4 linked regions of the Arabidopsis thaliana genome follow. The protein of the gene in region 1 interacts with the protein of each later gene in a biochemical or structural test. Each region holds a gene or a part of one and is shown on either strand. Other genes may lie near its edges.

Region 1 (4,122 bases):
TAAATTTAAATAGATCGAATACTTAATTATATAGTCTAAGTATAAATAACAAGTTACTAAAAATATGAATGTATTGTTCAAAATCTTAATTTAAAACTTGTCTTGAAATTTACTACTTCACGACAATTTATGGTGGCCAATGGCATAATACCAACCTCGTGTTTTTACATGTGTCATTTTCCTATTAGTCCAACATCAATTTTCAACTTGGTATCCAAATAAATAATACACTAAAGCACTTTATACTAAAACTAATTGACAAAAGAAAAGCACTTTATACTTAAAACTAAATTTTCAGCGACCTCTGTTTGTCGTATGAAAATTAAAAGTTTGATTAGACACAAATTTGGAAGTGATTGCCCGCGAATCATTTTCTTTGTGGCTAACGTACACACGTATAGAGACGTACAGTTCAGACGAGTGGCTCAAATGATTAAAACAGTAAATCAGAAAGAGAACATTTTAATATAACTATAATTTTAACTAGTACTTAATTTTTTCAGCTTAAAGCCATATTTTTCATCTCTATTTCTTATCTTCTTCTTTTTTTGTAAAACCAAAAAAGCAACAAAATGTGGGTAAAAAGTAAAAACCCAACCCATCGGTTTCAATCCAACTTACTTGATTTTCCATTACACACAAAAGTCACAAACCAGAAAATCAAAAGAACGAAAAACAAATTATGTCTGTTTAAAAGCATATCTCCACCAATCATGCAAATGTTTTTGGTTAAACTCCTAGAAGCATAAAAAGGTCATCATCATCATCATCATCACCTTTATCAAATCACTTAGCCATCATAATCTTGACAAACTCTTCATAGTTAATCTGACCATCTCCATCAACATCAGCCTCACGGATCATCTCTTCCACTTCTTCATCAGTTAGCTTCTCACCAAGATTGGTCATCACATGGCGTAGCTCAGCAGCGGAGATGAAACCGTTCTGGTCTTTGTCGAAAACCCTGAAGGCTTCTTTTAGCTCTTCCTCGGAGTCAGTGTCTTTCATCTTCTTAGCCATCAGGTTCAGGAACTCGGGGAAGTCGATAGTGCCGTTTCCATCTGCATCAACCTCGTTGATCATGTCTTGGAGCTCAGCCTCTGTTGGGTTTTGTCCTAGTGAACGCATAACTGTTCCCAGCTCTTTTGTTGTGATGCAACCTGTGTAACCACAATTAAGAGAGCATTACATTTTAGAACCCATCACATATTATACTCAAATGCTCAATGGAAGCAATGATAAAGCAGTTTTGTCATGGGTAAAAGCAATGATAGATGCAAAAGCGAATGAACATCTTTTGCTTATCTCTTAAAGAGTGAACAAACAAATCTACACAAATTGAGCTACTATAAGCAGGATATAACCATGAGACAATTCAGGAGTAGTTTCCAAACAATTTGATAATCTTTTGAAATCAAATCCTAGATCAGAGAGAACAAACACTACATCAACTAGTATAACAAACAACTCAGAAATCAAGAGAAAATCTGAGCAACATGACCTTGAAACCTACCTAGAGAGATCAAGAAGAACCATCAAAGCTTCTAAAAGATTCGAAATCACATTTAAGCACATAGTTTTTTCCCATTCTTTGGTAGAATTGTTGAGAACACAAAAAAAAACTCAGATAATTAACAACTTCGAAGAAAAAAAGATAGCAGATTCTTTATCAACTAAGAGCAAACTCGAAAACACATACGACCAAAACAATCATGGAAGATGAAAAATCAAACAAAACGTAAGAGACGAAAAAATAAATCAGATCCAAGCTAGCAAATCAACGAAACAGGACAACAAGCAAGCTATTAAATCGATTCAATCATATACAAAAAGCCATCGAAGATCAAAAAGCGAAACTACTCGGTCAAAGATCAAAAACAGATCAAACGACAAGGTCAATACCTCCGAATCTAAAGAGATTAGCGACTAATAAACACATATTCAAAGCTCGGGAGGACGAGATACACCGTTCTAAATCATCGATAGAAGACGAAAATGGAAAAAAAACCGAGATCCAGTAATGTAACCATCAAAGGCGTAAAAGAAGAGGTAATCTAACCATCGCCATCTTTGTCGAAGAGGCTAAAAGCTTCCTTGAATTCGGAGATCTGTTCGTCAGTGAGTTGATCCGCCATAGCTTCTTCGAGAAATCGTCTTTCTTCTCTTCCTTTGTCTTTACTTAATGAGTTTTTTTTTTTTTTGGATTCAGAGTCGTCTCTCTTTGAAAATGATGCAAACAAATATCTAAGCAAAACGACAAAAAGAAGGAGAAAAGGTAAGTCGGAAAAATTCCAAACAAAAACCCAATTAATTTTTAATTTTTAGAAGAAAATACATATATTAATAAAAGTGTATAATTTAATACCAAAATAATTAAAATATTATTACTTTTATATTTACTACTTTAATAAACTATGAATTTTTCGTTGATATGACATTAATTTTATTTATTTTTTAAAAATTACTTTTAGTAATATTTTGTTTCTATATTATAAAAATTATTTTATTTTTAAAATTCACATAAATAAAATGAGCAAAAGAAATCTTAATAAATTTTGAAAAAGATAATGATATTGTGAACCGAAATATTAATAAAAAGTTAGCTGATGTTGATATACACAATGTAACTTAGTTGAGGTATAAAAACGTACCGTTGAGAGGTTGAACTTCACTTTTTTCCGGAAGATGAATATTCGGATTATTTTAACTACAACATAAACCACTTTCTACAAGCGCTCTCACGCCTTTGGCTCACACGATTGTTTTCTAACATCATTTGGCTCACGAAATATGCTTCACAAAGTTTACTTGTGATGATCCATCACAGCAGACAGCAGTCGAGCGTTAAGAGAAAGATTGCATGTCGTACATGTACATCATGTATTCATGTGTGAAAGATGCCAACAGTGGTCGAAACACAATTATCATCAGAAAAATATTACTCGAGCAACAATACTTTTCTATCTACGAGTATGTGCTGCTCACTCTCCATAATATGGAGCTAATATTGATCATAAGGCTTGAGCGAATCACCTATCACCAATACCTAAGATTAGGTGATAATCTTAATTAAGCTATTTGTCTTTGGGCCAGTTCTACACGTATTTGGGTCACTACAAAAGTTTGAATAGCTTGAAATCCTTAATACCATGGAAAATGAGGTTTCTTTTCTTCTTCGCACTACCATCTCTTCGGCATATCTAAAAGATACCTCGTAGGCTCGTATACAACTCTAAGACCAAATTTAATAAATTGTTGGACAAACCTTATTCTAATTTTTGGGTAACACGATTGGAATCAACAAAACCCTATTCTTGATTGTCGAAACTTACGTACTTAATTAATGTAAGAAAGAAAAAAAATATCCAAGTTCATATAGGTTACAAAGAAAATAAAAAAATTCCAACACAAATAAAAATTAAATTTTTAAAATTCATAATAAAAAAAATAAATTTCAAAACTAAAACTAGATAAAAATAAAACAAAACCAAGGAAGAGAGTAATAAGCTTAAAGAGACACAACACAATCCCAACGAGGAAGCTCTTGACAAGGTCAAAGGAACATTCCACCCATACATGAACACATGCTGACGGAGATCTCGAGCATATTTTATCTGCGAGAAGTAGATTCCGTCTTCCCTAGCTTCCCATACGTCTCCATGGTTAACACCAAAAACTTGGTGATGCTTGAAATTAGGTCCTTGCCATAAATGACACCAAAAATAGTCGGAATCATCATCAACTAGCAGATGGTACGATCCTGTTGGATGCAACCTATGGTATACCATATCATGGTTCGTGGATTTGCAATGGATTATGAGATCGTTTTTTTCATGAAGAAAGTTTCTGATCCACACGGAATGTTTGTACGATAAGGCTGTGTTACTCATCATGGTAAGACCAAAGGCGAAAACAAAAAGGAGAATCGATAGACGATTCATTGATATCATCTCTATATGTTGAACTAATGGTCGATCGATTTAATTTGAAGTGATAGAATGTTTAGAAGGTTTAGTTTGTTCTGTCTATATATAATGAAAATACTAGTCATAGTCCTGATAGGTTTAGGAAACACAAATTCAACAACAATAACAATTAGGACTTGAGCGATTGCAATTTTTA
Region 2 (6,465 bases), 9.3 Mb from region 1:
ATTTACTGATCCATTTGAAATAGCAGAATATGAAATCAAATTAATTTTATTGAGATGGAAGCTAATGAACTATTAAATATGAAGAATTTGAAATCCTTTACCTTTTGCTTATGTGATATTACCAAGCTATGATGTGAGTTTGTATGTGATATCATGTTTTATATGTAATATTTCGAAAACAAATATATAAACAAATAAAGAGAAGCAAATGAAACAAAACTTTGGCTTTTTTATATATCATTTGTCATTTATCATTTACAAACCTAAAAGTCAAAGATAAACCAAAGGATACCCTGATTTGTTAATGTTATGATATTTGAGCAAAACTGTGGAGTATAATATATTATAACTCATTGAATATAACCACATAGTCATAACAAATCAAAATAAAATAAAAGTTTCCAAAACGTAGTCATAACAAATAACAAAATTATTTAAAGGTTTTCAATTTTTACAAGATAAAGTATATTAAAAATGATAAAATAGAATAATATGTAACTTTGTTAACATCTTGGAAAAAATAGAAAATTTAATATGAAGTTGTGTCTACGAATTCTATTTATGTTCTAGTTATTGTACATATTCAAATTAACGATGCTAAATCATTCTTCTGATATTGAGTTGTGTCACATGTTAAGTATATTTATTTTAATTTTCTTAGTATCATAATGTTTTCTTTCTTGTATGATTAGGTGCACATGGAATATATGTCATACTATTTTAAAATTCATATTTTATTAATTCTTTTGTCATAGCTAGCCATCATATATAGGTAGACCAGTATATAATAGAAAAAAAGAACACATTCAAATGATTTTGATTTCTTCTAACACTAGATTAATCTTAACTTCACCTTTTTTTTTGTCACAGTTAACATCTTATATAACTTCATTTCAAATGTCTATATTTTTTAATGTCTACATAAATATACATTTCATCACACGATTTACAATATGAATACATGTTTATAAGCTTTTAGATCATGGAATATAAAATAGTGCACTTTTTAATTATGTCGATATAGTCTTTGATTTTTAAAAAATTAAAGATGAAAAATTAGAAAATTATGTGATGCATTAGGACTCAATAATAGAGACTATACATAATAACAATTGCAGTTAGTTCTTAGTTGGATATAATAGGTCAGTAAAATATATTATTACAAACATCAACTCTGCACTACGCAAGATGTAGTAAATTACGAAAATATATGATAAACAAATTCGCATACTACATTATGACTACAATAGCCACCTTCCCTATACATTATGACTTCTAACATTGAAAAAATTTGCAAACATTTGGTGTAAATTAACAAATTAAAAACATTTGGTCTAATGTATGAAGAAAAAACTAGATATTCCGCTAATTTAAACAAACATTTGGCCTTATAAGAAATTTTAGGTAAGAAAAAATTCTGAGAAGTCTTTTTTATTCACATCACATAGTCAATATTCAATTCAATGCATATAAATTTCATGTAAAGCTTCTTTTTTCCTCGGATCCCATTCATTATTTTACTTACCATTGAATACTTTCACCGTGTAGTCTTTTTTTAGAAATCGTTGAATATCAAAAACAAGAAGAAGAAAAAGAAACCGTGTTTTCAATGTGCTGTCATACGATTCATGACCCTTTATGAATCTAATACAGAGTTTGAAACATAAACTAAACTTGGAAGTTTGCCAAAAAAAAAAAAAAAAAAAAAACTTGGAAATAACACTTCTCAAAAAGATATTGGGTCAAAGTCTAAAACTGAAAACGAAACTAGAGGCATTATTCTCTAATTCAAACAAAGTTTAGGGCTTGGGAAGAAATATTCACAAAAAGGAAGTTTCCGAAAATTCTTTTATATTATTCCCCAAGCAAACCATTCAATATCATTGATTATTGATATAAAACCCATATAAAGGTGTCTCTCATCATCCTCCATTCCCATACATCACTTTCCTCGATCTCACTTTCTCTCTCTTATCATCATCTCCTGGTATTCTCTCTCTCTCATCTCCGTGATGGTGCTCTCCCACGCCGTATCGGAGTCGGACGTCTCCGTCCACTCCACATTCGCATCACGTTACGTCCGTACTTCACTTCCTAGGTACAAAAAATATAACACAATCTTGATCACATTATACTTCTATATTTTCGATAAAAATGGAGGGCTAAAAACGTAGATATCAGGTTCAAGATGCCGGAAAACTCGATTCCTAAGGAAGCGGCGTATCAGATCATCAACGACGAGCTGATGCTTGACGGGAATCCACGGTTGAACTTAGCCTCCTTTGTGACGACATGGATGGAGCCTGAGTGTGATAAACTCATCATGTCCTCCATCAACAAGAACTATGTTGACATGGACGAGTACCCCGTCACCACCGAACTTCAGGTATATATAGTTCTAAGTCATGACTTTTTGAAAACGAGATTTAATCATAACTATATATATCGGCTTATGTATGGAGAAAAATGTTTATAGAATCTTTAGATTGTTTTTTTCCAAACGACTTTGTGATAGAATGTGGTCGAGTTATGATAAACTCAAATGTTTGAATGACCCGGCCATTCATATTCTGGATCGAGATTATAGACCATTATTAATCAGTATGATTCATAATTAAGATGCTTTGTTATTCAAAAAGAAAACTTTTCTTTTAATCTTTTTCTATGTGTATAAGTATATATATATATATATATATATATATATATATATATATATATATATATATATGTATGCCAACGTTGTTGATTTTCTTGTATGGTTGTGTTGATCGGGTAATCGACTTTGGGTGATTTTGAATAATATAGTATTAGAGGGTATAATTTAATACTACTTTATTTCCGTTTACGTAGTACAGTTTGTTTTTGGGGGAGGTTGGATCTCGGAAATACTAGCCGGTGACTTATGAGGGTCTTTTTAAAGTCTTAAGGTTGTCAATAATTTGCACAAAAAAAAAGGTTCTTATTAACAAAAAAAAAAAACTTAGTTTCTTAAAAATATTTGATACTGTTATTAGTTTGAATCATTCATTAATAAGATGCTTTATCATGGAATCTGATTTCCATGCGTATTTAAATGGACACCTACTATGTTGACTTTTTCAATGGTGTGTGACTGTGTTGATCAAATTTAGGATAATATGGACTATGCTATAGTAATTAGGGGGAATATTTGTACTACCTTATTTCCGCAAATACCATCCATTGTAGTTGAGTTATTTTGTGAGGACTTCCTTTAATCTTAATAATTGGTCCTACAGTACTAATATGCGAATTGATAGCTAGATACTTTTAACTAATGATATATTTTTATTGGGCCATAACGGAAATAAAAGGAAGACAATATGAAATATCGGTTATGGTTTGAAATTATTAGATTTCTCGTGTTTCAAATTAAAAACTTAAAAAATGACCTAATTTTCTAGCATATTTTTTTTTTTTGCCAACTAGTATCTGATCGTAATTATTTACATCAAAAGCTAAAACATGATACCATGTTGGATTATAGAATAGTATTGTTTATGAGTCTTATGACAATAGGACTTATCTCCACGACTTAGTGTGTGCATTAATCTTAGTTTTGCTTTCACATCTGTCACATTGTTTATTGTCCACTAAGAATATTGTATTAAGCATCAATCTCGATGTCAGAAAATGATTAGTCAAGTGGGTTTCACTAATTTATTCTTTTTGTTTTAATATTAAAAAACAGAACCGATGTGTGAACATGATTGCACATCTATTCAATGCACCGTTAGAAGAGGCGGAGACCGCCGTCGGAGTAGGAACCGTTGGATCATCGGAGGCCATAATGTTGGCCGGTTTGGCCTTCAAGCGTAAATGGCAGAACAAGCGCAAAGCTGAAGGCAAACCCGTCGATAAACCCAACATTGTCACCGGAGCCAATGTTCAAGTAACGTTTTCTAAATAAAAGATGCTTACTAAACATAATCTTTTTGATCAATTTTCTTATAACGATTCAAATGTTTAGGTGTGTTGGGAGAAATTCGCTAGGTACTTTGAGGTTGAACTTAAGGAAGTGAAATTGAGTGAAGGATACTATGTGATGGACCCTCAACAAGCTGTTGATATGGTTGATGAGAACACCATTTGTGTTGCGGCCATTCTTGGTTCCACTCTTAATGGAGAATTCGAAGATGTTAAACTCTTGAACGATCTCTTGGTCGAAAAGAACAAAGAAACCGGGTAATTACTTAATGGATTGTCTACATGATTACACTATACGATAAAGAATATTTAAGTTAATTAAAACAACTATGCATGTTTTTGATAGATGGGATACACCAATCCACGTGGATGCGGCAAGTGGAGGATTCATTGCACCGTTTTTGTATCCGGAATTGGAATGGGACTTTAGACTTCCCTTGGTGAAGAGTATCAATGTGAGTGGTCACAAGTATGGACTTGTGTACGCAGGGATTGGTTGGGTGATCTGGAGAAACAAAGAGGATTTGCCTGAGGAACTCATCTTCCATATCAATTATCTTGGTGCTGACCAACCCACCTTTACTCTCAATTTCTCCAAAGGTAACTAATATTTTTTTAATTATTATTTTTCTTTGTAGCTTGTCTTAATCTTTTGTGTTCGACTTTTCATTATTAGTCATGATCTAAAGTAGTCTAACCATCAAAGTGATGGAGATCAAATTGCTTTCCATTTTAAAATACGGAAACGACACCGTTTTTTAATTCGTAGTAGTGTAGTAATTGATCAATCACTATGATTAGATTAAGCAATTGTGGGAAACTTCACGTAAATTATTTCCACTTTTTGTTTTTTCCAATTTGTTTGACTTTAGTTTAAGAAATCGGTAGTAAATTATAAAATCAAAGGGATGGGAGGTCAAATTTGTTTCCATATTAAAATTGGGGAAAACATAATTAAACGTTGTCGTATTCAAAAAGTCTTCTGTCAATAAACGCAGGTTCAAGTCAAGTCATTGCTCAATACTACCAACTTATCCGATTGGGCCACGAGGTAAGTCAGTCCACGATTATATAAATTTATTAATCAAGCTAATTAATTAGACATTACTTTAACAATAAAAATGTATCAAACAGGGTTACAGAAATGTGATGGAGAATTGCAGAGAGAATATGATCGTCCTAAGGGAAGGACTTGAGAAGACAGAAAGGTTCAACATCGTCTCAAAGGACGAGGGAGTGCCACTTGTCGCTTTCTCCTTGAAAGATAGCAGCTGTCACACTGAGTTCGAAATCTCCGACATGCTTCGCAGGTTAGTTAGTTGTCTTAACTAAAAAGATTTCAAATACTCTTTTCTTATTTAAACTTTGGTTAAAGATTCATAAAATAAGTAGATATTTAATGACTATGTATATGTAATTAATTACTCTATAAATATTTGATATGTAGGTATGGATGGATAGTGCCGGCCTACACAATGCCTCCAAATGCACAACACATCACTGTTCTTCGTGTGGTTATCAGAGAAGATTTCTCGAGAACACTCGCTGAGAGACTTGTGATCGATATAGAGAAAGTGATGCGTGAGCTCGATGAGCTTCCTTCGAGAGTGATTCACAAAATATCACTTGGACAAGAGAAGAGTGAATCTAACAGCGATAACTTGATGGTCACGGTGAAGAAGAGCGATATCGACAAGCAGAGAGATATCATCACTGGCTGGAAGAAGTTTGTCGCCGACAGGAAGAAGACGAGTGGTATCTGCTAATCGAAATATATTTACTTCAAATGTTTGAAGACTTTTATTAATAATGCATAATTGCATTGATTTGGATATTTGAATGTTTCATTCCCCTTTATCGCTGAACCAAGTTTCATTTCCCTTTATTGCTGAAGTAAGTTTCATTTCCCTTTATTACTGAACCAAGTTTCATTTGACTTTGATTTGTAATATCTTTTGATATTATTATTATTGCCGTATTTTTAAATACGTTTATCTGTTTTTTTTTTTTTGTTCCTTGTGCATCATCCATTATACATAGGATTAAGAGATCTAGTAGAACCTCCTTGGATAGCGCAATGTTGTTTAACGTAATAGTTGTTGAAATGATTACTGAATGATCCCAAATTTTGGATTAGTTCATTATTAAAAAATGAAAATAATTTTGCAAGATTAACTAGTAAGGTTTGTTTTGCATATAAATATGTTGTTAGGATTGTAAACTCAAACGTGTAAAGGTCGCATAAATCGAGATCACGATATCACTCGTCTCTGGCAAGGTAGGTTGGGAACGTATTTGCTCTAAAGCTATAGCCATCTTGTAAATAGATAGACATGTATTCTAAAATGTAAATTTTTTAAAATATAACAAACTAATTTTAATTTTATTCTAAGTTTTCTTTTCTTTTTCTTATGTGGTATGAGATCTGTACCAAATTGCGTAAATGTAAGCATGATAACAAATAACAATGCACAAAATTTAATAAATAAAAAGCACTGATATCTTTATTAAGAAAGAAAA
Region 3 (4,923 bases), on another chromosome or scaffold:
AGTGGGAAGCGGGTTGCACCGAACCAAGCCCATGTAGCTAAACACTCACACGCGCGACGCATGTCTGAAAAGTGGTAATTGAATTTTGTTTAGAATGATTCTACAGAGGTTGAATTTGGTAAATGAATCAGAGGAATATTAAGCATTTGAGCATAATTTCCAATTTGGTCAGATTATGATATATGTAAATATGTCCATGATTCATTTTCTGTTTTTGGGTTCTCTTTGTTCATTTATTAAGTCATGGGCTGAAGTTTTCATATTTTAAGTCATGGGCTGAGTTCTCAAGGACTAAAACTGGTATTGATATTATGATCTGTTAAAAGCCAATTCATTTAAGGTGTTCAAAATCTAAACTGAATAATTGCGTTAAATTAAGCCGGACATGTTTCAATCAAAAGTCAATAGAATGTGTCAAAATACTCTGGGTACTTGGGTAGTATTAGTAACATTAACTTACAAGGATTTTTCTCTATATAAAAATACAGAGTACTAGTTTTGATTTTATCTGAGTGAGAACTTTCTAATAAAACTCTAATCGAAAACAATTAATATTTTGTATAAAATGGAGTGTAGAACCTAAATATTTTGTATTGCTTGGATATATAGTTTTTTTTCTTCTTAACATGGATATATAAGTTCTATTTCGTACATATTTCCCCTAATTTTAATGTTGAATTTTGGAAAACTTTTGTTGGATAGTGACATGAAGACCCTAATTTTAATCATAACATTTTGGAAAACTTGATTGGGTGAGTGATATGGAGGTGATGTTAACGTATGTTTGGTATCAATAGTTGGTCCAATTAGGCCCAAAGAGTCAAAAAAGGTGCCCAAGTGTTGTCAAAAGAGAAAACAATTAAGAATAGGGCAAAGCTTGGCCAGCAAGATTTAGTGGTCATTTCCTAGAAACGTGTCCAAGAATTTATAAAGATGGGTTGTCTTATAAATACATATCGTTCACGTAATTACCTGAGATCAAATCTTAATCATATCATTCATCGTATATAGACTCCAAACACGTTTTTCAAACTCCTATGATCATGTGTTCTCTCTTTGCCTCCGTCTTTGATTGCTTTGTTCCAAAATCAGACTCAAAGATTAGCTCAACTGATGAGAGTGACTTGAAAGTCCTGTCCTCAAAGAAACCAAAAAGCAAATCCCCGAGAGCTCCGATTATGGTGTCTTACTTTCCCGCCGGTTCAAACCTTTCGCGTCTATAAGTGCCAAATAGAAGAGAAGAGAAGATGAAGTATTGGGATGTTGATTTTGATATAAACGAAAGAAGTTTTTGGTTGTAGACATGTTGTATGCGCAGGCTTTAATTTTATGTTTTATTTAATTATGTACAAATAGACCATTTAGATTGATAGCATCATATATATGCTTTGTATTTAAGACCAAATAAAAGATTAATGTTTATATACATGCGTAAAAATGTTAAGAGCTTAGTTAGTATCATTTTCAAAAACTGATTGTCACTTGAGCTTTTATTTTTCTTATTTTTTTAATTAAGAAAAGTTGTGGCCCTCAAAAAGTTACATGGAATCGGAACAGGAAAAAAAAAATGTCGAAAACTGATTAATCTAGGCAACGTTATCGCATTTTCATATCTTACAAATCCCTTTTTCAATTCAGATTTGGTAGAAATGCAAGGAGAGTTCCATAGTGTATATGTAAAATTTGTATAAAACGTCTAGAAGAATTACAATGCTGAATTTGTTGGAAGCTCTGTTTTTCTCTGCTTAGACGTTTCCAACGTGTTTTGGGTTTCTCTGATCACTGTAAAGCCTAAACCACAAGAGAAGAAAAACCACGAAGCTTTGGGCTTTAAGGCCTTTTTGGGCCCTAGCCACAATAATGGAAGCCTATCAAGAAAAGACAAGACAAGACAATAAGACAGAAGAGGACAAGTGTTTAAAGTGGAAGTTATCTTTCTCACGTGGTCTAAAGAAAGGTTAAAAAAAAAGAGGGAAAAAAAAAAGAAGATGAGAGAAAGCAAAGTGTTGAAGACTTTTTAGAAAGCAGAAAAAAAAGCAGAGAGTGTATTCAAAGTCGGAAAGAAACCCTAAAGAAGAGGATTATGGGTGCTGTATCGATGGAGTCGCTTCCTTTAGGTTTCAGATTCAGACCTACCGATGAAGAGCTCGTCAATCACTACCTCCGTCTCAAGATCAACGGACGTCACTCCGATGTCCGTGTCATCCCTGATATCGATGTCTGCAAATGGGAACCTTGGGATCTTCCTGGTTCGTCTCTTTATTCTCTCAAAATTTGATTCCTTTTATTCTCAGATTCTGTTTTCCCTCTCAAAGATTCCACCTTTTTTTTCTTTACTCAATTGGAAACAAATCTGATTGTCGGCAGCTCTCTCGGTGATTAAGACGGATGATCCAGAGTGGTTCTTTTTCTGCCCTCGTGATCGGAAATACCCTAATGGTCATCGCTCTAACAGAGCAACTGACTCTGGCTATTGGAAAGCTACTGGTAAAGATCGTAGCATCAAGTCTAAGAAGACTTTAATCGGTATGAAGAAGACTCTTGTCTTCTATCGTGGACGAGCTCCTAAAGGTGAGCGGACTAATTGGATTATGCACGAGTATCGTCCCACTCTTAAGGATCTTGATGGCACTTCCCCTGGCCAAAGCCCTTACGTTCTTTGTCGCCTCTTCCACAAGCCTGATGATCGGGTTAATGGTGTCAAGTCCGATGAAGCAGCTTTTACGGCCAGCAACAAATACTCACCTGATGATACATCATCTGATCTTGTTCAAGAAACACCTTCCTCTGATGCTGCTGTTGAGAAACCATCAGATTATTCAGGTGGATGCGGTTATGCTCATAGTAATAGTACCGCAGATGGGACAATGATTGAGGTATGAATGGAAACTCTTGAATAATTAATTAGGCTTTTTTGAGTGACTTGACTAATTTTGAGTTTTGTGTTCATAGGCACCTGAAGAGAATCTTTGGTTATCTTGTGACCTTGAAGATCAAAAGGCACCACTACCGTGTATGGATTCTATATATGCTGGTGATTTCAGTTACGATGAGATTGGATTCCAATTTCAAGATGGTACCAGCGAACCAGATGTATCACTAACAGAATTGTTGGAGGAGGTGTTCAATAACCCTGATGACTTCTCTTGCGAGGAATCGATCAGTCGAGAGAATCCAGCAGTCTCACCAAATGGGATATTTTCATCTGCTAAAATGCTGCAGTCTGCAGCACCAGAGGATGCTTTCTTCAACGACTTCATGGCTTTCACTGATACAGATGCTGAGATGGCGCAATTGCAGGTGAGCACAAAGATACATATTTTGAGGCCTATACAATTTTAGAAGTATCCAAATTATTTTGCTTTAAGTAGGCTAGAAACCTCTAGATCAGTTATCTTTACAATCACTCTTGACATAAGTAAAATGACAATTTTTATCTTTTGTTTGATCAGTATGGTTCAGAAGGTGGAGCTTCTGGTTGGCCAAGTGACACTAATTCATACTATAGTGATTTGGTTCAGCAAGAGCAAATGATCAATCATAACACAGAGAACAACCTCACAGAAGGGAGAGGGATAAAGATCCGGGCTCGACAGCCTCAGAACCGGCAGAGTACAGGATTGATAAACCAGGGTATTGCTCCAAGGAGAATCCGTCTGCAGCTGCAGTCTAACTCTGAAGTAAAAGAACGAGAGGAGGTGAATGAAGGACACACTGTTATTCCCGAGGTACGAGACTAGTGATTCCAAAAGTTGTGTCTTAGACATCAATAACATAAAGGATGCATCTTTTTAATTTGTTGTTAATGGTGGGGATGTGCAGGCCAAAGAAGCTGCAGCTAAATACTCAGAGAAGAGTGGTTCTTTGGTTAAACCTCAAATAAAGCTCAGGGCGCGGGGAACTATAGGCCAAGTAAAAGGAGAGAGATTTGCAGACGACGAGGTAAGAATGAGTGAACTTGTTTACACATGAATGAAGAAAGAGTATAGTAGTAAGCTCTACTAAATACTATAGAATTAGAAAGAAAAAAAAGAGAAAGCAATCAGTAGAGCATGTGAGATCAGCTAGTAATGATAAAAGAAACTGAGAAGTATCTTTGTCTAAAGAGAAGTTTGTTGTGGTTACAGGTACAGGTGCAGAGCAGAAAGAGACGAGGAGGGAAGCGATGGAAGGTGGTTGCAACGGTAATGGTGGCTGTGATGGTTGGGGTAGGGATGGGTATATGGAGGACACTGGTGAGTTCATGACACATGAGACACAAAGAGAGAGAGAGAGAGAATCAAATGTAGTTTAATGTAATTAGGGATGATGCAATGTTAGCATGTTTGTGTGTTGTAACTTAAAAACTTATTTAGGAATCTGATAAAAGTTACTGTTGAATTTACACGGATGGTCAAGATTAAATGTACCAACATCTTAATTATCTACGGTCAAGATTAAAAATACCAACATCTTAAATTAACACCGCATCAAAGAATTATCTCAATCGTCGTCTCTCCCCAATTCAAAAAAAGAAATAACCTAAACGTGTTCACACAGAGGTAAGCTCGCTCCTACTCGCCGCCTCATCTGAGTCAACTCCGAGTCAGCTATTTTTCCCCACCGGATTCTCACTTTTGTTCCTCTCTGTGACAGATCTCGAGATGAAAGATAACCAAACGGAAGTTGAATCGAGGAGCACTGATGATAGGTATCTTTATATTTATCCGTAATCTCGATTCTTAGATTCAATTTGTTTCCGTAGTTTTGAAATCGTCTTTTATGATTCTCAGATTGAAAGTTAGAGGGAACAAAGTTGGAAAGAAAACAAAGGATCCAAACAGGCCTAAGAAACCACCAAGTCCTTTCTTCGTCTTCCTGTAAATAAAAATCACTAATCTCTCTTCTTCTTTTTTCTTCACTAATTTGATTACAGTAATTAAT
Region 4 (5,765 bases), about 10 Mb from region 1:
CAAATCACAATAGATGCAGAAAATTCCACAAAAACTGAGTCCAAAATGATCCAGGACTCGAACAGAAACAGAGATTAACTTACAGCTTTCTCTCGAGTTCCTGGCTCAATGTGGAATCCACGACGCGATATTGATAAAGCATCACCCGTCTTCTTCAAAAATTTCGTAAGGGAAAAAATTGTCACAAAAATCAAACAAAATTCCAACAATAATCGATTAACAAGATTTGATCCAAACCTGTGAAGAAGACGAGCGTAAATGAGATGAAATTGAAGCGTTGTTGAGCAAAAACGCCATGCCCAGACGAGTATCGAAGATCGCTCACAGGGAAACAGCAAAACCTTTTCTTCTGGAATTGGAAAGAATTTTCGAGCTTTTCAACATGGGCTCTATACTCTAGAATTATTCCATTTTGACCCCAAAACTATTGTATGATAAATTATCACCCTGATTGTTTTTACTCACCCAAAATCTTCATACTCAGTCTAGTGTTCTTTGAATCTCAAACACAAAACTCTAGAAGATAATGTAAAATCTCAGTTGATTCAAATAATATTCATTTTATTCAGTTTCACATTACCTGACAAACCAAGAAAAACGTAGTTCTGCAAATCTGCAATTTGGTACTAATCACAGAGATTATAAAAGACCCTGTTTTTTAAGCTTTCAACAAAAATGAAGCTGTCCTAAAACATATATTCACATCTTTAACACAAAGATGGAGACAACCAGAAGAAGAAGAAGAAAGAAAACACTTTTGAACGCCTCTGGATCATCAGAAACCCAAGCTTTCCCCGAGTATATATATACACGAATCTGTCCAGGGCGCGGCGCAGCGAGTCGTTTTGTTCTTTTGTGTACTAAACTCATTTTATATTTTTCCTAACTTGACATACTTGAAAACAGAGAGCCATCTCGAGACACTGAAAAGCTTTGTCCATCTTTTGCTGTGAGCCTTACCACCGACCGAAGCATTCTTCTGTGACATGAAATCGTCAAGCGCACTCTGCAACTCAGATTGCGGTTCTTCTAAGCCTAGAATGTGAGAGCAGTTCCAGAGATTGTCGTAGTCTTCATATAAACCATGTGGAGTAACTTCCATGTCAACATCATCACTGTGCTTGCCACTACATTCTGCTGTGTTGTGAAGACTTGACACAAAACCGTATCCGTCCAAACTGGTCAAACTCAGACCCGAATAATCAATCCCGGCAACACTGCCTTGAGAAGCCGGGGCATTGAGAACGTTCCTCATCATGGAAACCTCATCATCATACGAGATTACTTCATTTAGGTGACTCAATGCATCAATTACCATCACCTCCGCTTGAGCCTGAAATCAGAAAATTTATGTAAACCTGAGAGTATGTAGAAGAGAAACCAAGTCAAATATGTAGACAGAGAGGATCAGTGCCTTTTCAATCTCTGATAACTTTTCAGCAGGAATATACTGAAAATCCACGAGCAGTCCAAGCACTTGAGCTACGACGTTGAAGACAACAGCTGTTTTCTTCTGAAATCCAGGAGCTTGGTACACATGGACGCTACTATCTAGAACACATGATCGAGCATGGTCCAAAGTAATTTCCCACATCTTTGAAGACATACCCGTACCAAGAACCTGCAAGGAACATCAATCATCATTACATGTAGACAAGTTAAAACTGTGTATTTCTCACCAGGTGAGAATCAATCACAAACCATTATTACTGGTGACACAAAAGATTCACGCCCACCACAGAAGCCTTAGTCACATAGGCACAGAGTAAGGAAGACGAATCTTACTTGTCGGAGTTTTGAAGAGTTTAAATGGAAATGTGTTAAGAAATCCTTGACAGTGTTTATATTTGACAAATTCAGTCGTCTGTGAAATGCTCCATCTTTCCCTATCTTTTCCAATCTCCATACTTCATCGAAAAGAGAAGGAGGATGATGCTTTTTGTACACTACAAATAAGAGAGAAAGAGTCATAAGAAAGAAACAACTTCTTTTAATTTACAGAAAATATGAGAACAGGAAAGTAAATTGGTTCAATGATACTCAATGTGAGAGAATAAACTAACAAGCAATACTTACACTCTCCTCGATGATCTCTTACGACAAAGGACTCTGTTATTGCCTCTCTAATTTTGACATAATCAAACTGATCCACTATTCGTACCCCGAGTCTGAACTTCCTGCTCCTAGTCCAGCTAGAGTTATCTGTAAATGAGATTTCATCCATAACACCAATGCCATCATTAAGAACCGCAAATACATTCCCATTGAGTAGAGGTTTCTTTCCTTCTCTCTCTCTTACAATGTTATTCCTGATATCCTCATCAGTCCAATCACTAACACTGTTAAAATCACCCTCAACGACAAAAACTTCGAGTTTGGCGGATGATGCAGGACCAGAAGAGAAAATTTGGCCAGTTGAAGGGTCTATTAATCCAACTCTTATAGCTTGGCCTTCATCTCCTTCTATCCGAGCTGAAGTAAACACGGGAAGCGATAGATTGTTCAAGAACTTTAACTGTAGATTCCTTGATTCCAAAGGATGAGTCTCTTTCTCACAAATCCTGAACAAAGATGAACATGGGAAGAAATTATTTATTACAGAACAGCCTGAAAAATCTAATGTTGATCTTGAAAAATAGTTTTACCACTTGATGCCTGCTAGATGCTTTCCAAGAGCTAATTCAACTTCTTCTTTGACCTGTTCCAAGGGATACTCATAAATTACTGCTAAAATAAACACACAATACTAGGAGAGAAGGGTACTATATTATATCAACGAGATACGTACCACTTTACGAATTAAGGGCTCGAGAACAGGTTCGAGAAAATGTTTGACGGTTTGTAATCTCATTACCTCCTGAACCACACTAAATTTTGATCCAAAGTCATATGTAGGAATTCTCATTAACACTAAAAATCAATTTAGAAAATCTGAACTTCATAAACATTGTTGATTTGTCAACAGTAAGTGACTGGGAAAAACAAATAAAGCTTCTTATTAAGGAATCCAACCATGGTGACTACGTGGTGTCATACTATCTAGTATGAGTACTTTTGTGTGTCAATAGAATTTTATCTTCCCAAGAAGTATCACTCTTTGATTATAAACAAAACTAAACCTTTTTATTAATTCCACGACAAGACAGTGATCATCTAAAGAACTCCGCAAGCTATAGAAAATCGTGTCAAAACCTAATCATAGAAGCTCAATTTTATCCTAACGAAACGATCACTTCACTATTTATACTTGTTCCAACATATAGATCACAACTTTTAGACTCGAATTCATCCTTATTAGCTAATACATAAACCCAATTGAATGAATCGAACTATCGAAGACTGATTCAAGCTACAACAACATCGTAAACCCTAGAAGCTGAAACAAAATTTATACCTTTTGAATCTTCTACGCTTGTCTTCGGATGAGCCGCCCTCAATTCGACCTTTCCCTTCTTCAAACTCTCTCTTCTGTGACATGATACCACAAGACCCGTTGAAATTCCCAGAGAATTTCAACCATTTACAGAATATTTTTTATGCGTTTTTTTGGAGTTTTTGTACAACAAGAACCGAAATTTCCGGGAAAGAGATATATATACACAATAACGAGTAACGGAATTATCGTAAAATGAATCTGATCTTCAAAACAAACAAAGACCCGTATCTTGGAGTTATCTGTAGCTTAACGCTTCCCCACCAGTTCTTTCTTTCAAAGGCTCTGTCGTACGACTTGAACAAAAGAGAAGGGATTTGCAAGTTCTTCTTTGTGGTAATTAGCAGATAGAGACAGAACACGGAGAAGAATGGTGTTTCTTTCTCAGTGTTGGGTGTTGTGGGACCCACCGAAACCGCGTTAGTGACGAGGAACCCCTAATTTATATGTTGTGTGTGCTTCTTCTTCTAACTACTAAAACAGAGACAAGTTTAGACCGTACCTAAATCTTTTTTCAAGTACATTTATCAAATTTCAAAGTTTAGAACATAGCTTCCGAATACTGAGAACTGAGAAGCATTGCTTGGTCTGAGCATTATGGGTATAGGGTGTTGGATAATAGCGGATAAGGGACTAAAGATCAACTAGTTTCATCTAACAAGCCATAGATGTTCAATCTTGTCTTAAAGAAATCATCACTTCACTACTAGTTCTCTTGTTTATAAATAAAACCAACTGATTGAATCCACAACATCATGAAACAAAATTATACAATTAAGAATAATATTTATTTATCTTGAGTTAGCAGAAAACGTACTTAAACAATTAAATACATAGAAGAGGGTTTTTAAAAATAAAAATAAAAATAAGGGTTTTTTATTTTCTTAAAGCTATTTTCATTTTATCCTTAAAGAATTTTGGTTTTTATTCATTCGAATTTTAAATAAAAACAAAAATTTTTTAACTCTTACCTATTATTAGGGCTGTTTGACGAAATCATCAAGCATGCGGAAACAGCAATCATCCATAATTCACCCTTGTTCTTCTTGTCACATGGATATGAATCAAGTAGCTTGGTCACAAAAGAACCTTGTGGATAACAATAACTTATGCCCCAGCCATACGGTCTTGTCTTATGATATTGTTCTTCCAATTGGGTCGACAAACGAAAAAAAACATTTCGATGTTTGATGTGATAATTATTCTGTGCCAACTAACAGATATGATATGTTTTTCAGTTTTGACTACTATTTTTGTTTTAACCACACATAGAACTCGGTTTTTAAGCTTTATCTACTGATAAATCATATTGAAAGCGTCTGCAAAATGCGATTTAATAATTATGTGACATATACACAAACGCTTCTTCTACACCAATTAATTATACACATCTTAAACAAAGATGCTGACATACTCGTTTTCCAGTACCAACACAAATCATACACATAAACGCGTGATTTGAAGAATGGGTAAAAGAAAATGAGTTTGTCTCAAGTTCTTTTATATTTAAATCGTACACACTAACCCTCTCTCCACTAAACATTTTAAAATAGTTGAGTTTTCACAAACACGTAAATCATTATTCAAAAACAAACTTCAAAGAGATTCTCTGAATCAGTATACAGTGTTGCACTTGGGAAATATATGTGAATACGTGATCGTTGATCTACGTACGATGTTATAAACTATATATAACCAATCTTCGCTTAAGCAGTTTTGTCTTAAAGAAGTTTCAAGCTGATATTTGGCTATTCATTAATTGTACAAATTGAATTTTGGCTGTTTATTAATCGAAAATCCACAATCATATGAACAATACTACTACTTATAAAGATGAAAGAATTCTAGAAATTTATATTCCCAAAATCATCAAAAATTTATAGCCCATGAGACCAATACTTGGGCTGGGCAAGAATATGAAGAAGTGCTCAGTTATGTGAGACCTATGAATCTATGATCAATTCAAATATTTACAATATCTAGAAAAAACATACAAAATCTTCTTTTTTAGTATTTTGCCTGCCTCTTGCCTGCATTTAATTTGACAATAAAACAGGATTGGTTACTTAAAATTTAGTTATTGGATCTCATAGTATCACACGGAATGTTTTTGTAGTAGAATAATTCAGAGTTTTGTCCTCTGACATCTTCACACGAACTGTCTGACTTCTTAATTCTCTCCATCACACGCTCGTTTTCATCCACGCATCTCTCTAATTTGCAATAAGTCAATTCAACTAATAAATCACATCAAGCTGAAAATACATCTCTTTACAACCGATTGACATTTCGCTTTACTCATCAAGTGAAATTTTTTTTTATCACATATCAT

The links.
Region 2: the proteins of CAM1 (region 1) and GAD are reported together in a solved structure, tested with the Arabidopsis thaliana proteins (one study listed by BioGRID).
Region 3: the proteins of CAM1 (region 1) and NTL9 form a complex in vitro, tested with the Arabidopsis thaliana proteins (one study listed by BioGRID).
Region 4: the proteins of CAM1 (region 1) and AT5G62570 form a complex in vitro, tested with the Arabidopsis thaliana proteins (one study listed by BioGRID).

Annotation. Positions count from the first base shown.
Region 1 is NC_003076.8:15,003,983-15,008,104, forward strand, and holds CAM1 (calmodulin 1), read right to left. Parts: upstream 2,224-4,122; 5' UTR 2,136-2,223; coding exon 2,060-2,135; exon of another isoform or gene 1,948-2,059; coding exon of another isoform or gene 1,903-1,947; intron 1,443-1,902; coding exon 1,365-1,442; intron 1,161-1,364; coding exon 787-1,160; 3' UTR 545-786; downstream 1-544. UniProt on the Arabidopsis thaliana protein: Calmodulin mediates the control of a large number of enzymes, ion channels and other proteins by Ca(2+). Among the enzymes to be stimulated by the calmodulin-Ca(2+) complex are a number of protein kinases and phosphatases.
Region 2 is NC_003076.8:5,709,129-5,715,593, forward strand, and holds GAD (glutamate decarboxylase), read left to right. Parts: upstream 1-1,781; 5' UTR 1,782-2,012; coding exon 2,013-2,098; intron 2,099-2,181; coding exon 2,182-2,386; intron 2,387-3,709; coding exon 3,710-3,910; intron 3,911-3,988; coding exon 3,989-4,203; intron 4,204-4,291; coding exon 4,292-4,545; intron 4,546-4,943; coding exon 4,944-4,996; intron 4,997-5,079; coding exon 5,080-5,255; intron 5,256-5,392; coding exon 5,393-5,711; 3' UTR 5,712-5,947; downstream 5,948-6,465. UniProt on the Arabidopsis thaliana protein: Catalyzes the conversion of glutamate to 4-aminobutanoate (GABA). The calmodulin-binding is calcium-dependent and it is proposed to directly or indirectly form a calcium regulated control of GABA biosynthesis.
Region 3 is NC_003075.7:16,887,905-16,892,827, reverse strand, and holds NTL9 (NAC transcription factor-like 9), read left to right. Parts: upstream 1-2,026; 5' UTR 2,027-2,083; coding exon 2,084-2,249; intron 2,250-2,367; coding exon 2,368-2,876; intron 2,877-2,952; coding exon 2,953-3,300; intron 3,301-3,452; coding exon 3,453-3,728; intron 3,729-3,822; coding exon 3,823-3,942; intron 3,943-4,108; coding exon 4,109-4,294; 3' UTR 4,295-4,423; downstream 4,424-4,923. Other genes in the region: HMGB5 (high mobility group B5), read left to right, coding at 4,644-4,690, 4,773-4,859. UniProt on the Arabidopsis thaliana protein: Transcriptional activator activated by proteolytic cleavage through regulated intramembrane proteolysis (RIP). Calmodulin-regulated transcriptional repressor. Binds several synthetic promoters with randomly selected binding sites.
Region 4 is NC_003076.8:25,112,074-25,117,838, reverse strand, and holds AT5G62570 (Calmodulin binding protein-like protein), read right to left. Parts: upstream 3,892-5,765; 5' UTR 3,875-3,891; coding exon of another isoform or gene 3,785-3,874; 5' UTR 3,770-3,784; coding exon of another isoform or gene 3,629-3,769; 5' UTR 3,478-3,628; coding exon 3,395-3,477; exon of another isoform or gene 2,906-3,394; coding exon of another isoform or gene 2,868-2,905; coding exon 2,789-2,867; intron 2,699-2,788; coding exon 2,646-2,698; intron 2,562-2,645; coding exon 2,077-2,561; intron 1,947-2,076; coding exon 1,786-1,946; coding exon of another isoform or gene 1,747-1,785; exon of another isoform or gene 1,702-1,746; intron 1,622-1,701; coding exon 1,415-1,621; coding exon of another isoform or gene 1,349-1,414; exon of another isoform or gene 1,334-1,348; coding exon 872-1,333; 3' UTR 525-871; downstream 1-524. Other genes in the region: SDH7 (succinate dehydrogenase subunit), read right to left, coding at 84-152, 238-297; AT5G62573 (uncharacterized protein), read left to right, coding at 3,629-3,769, 3,785-3,874. UniProt on the Arabidopsis thaliana protein: Transcription activator that binds DNA in a sequence-specific manner, likely 5'-GAAATTTTGG-3', to promote the expression of target genes.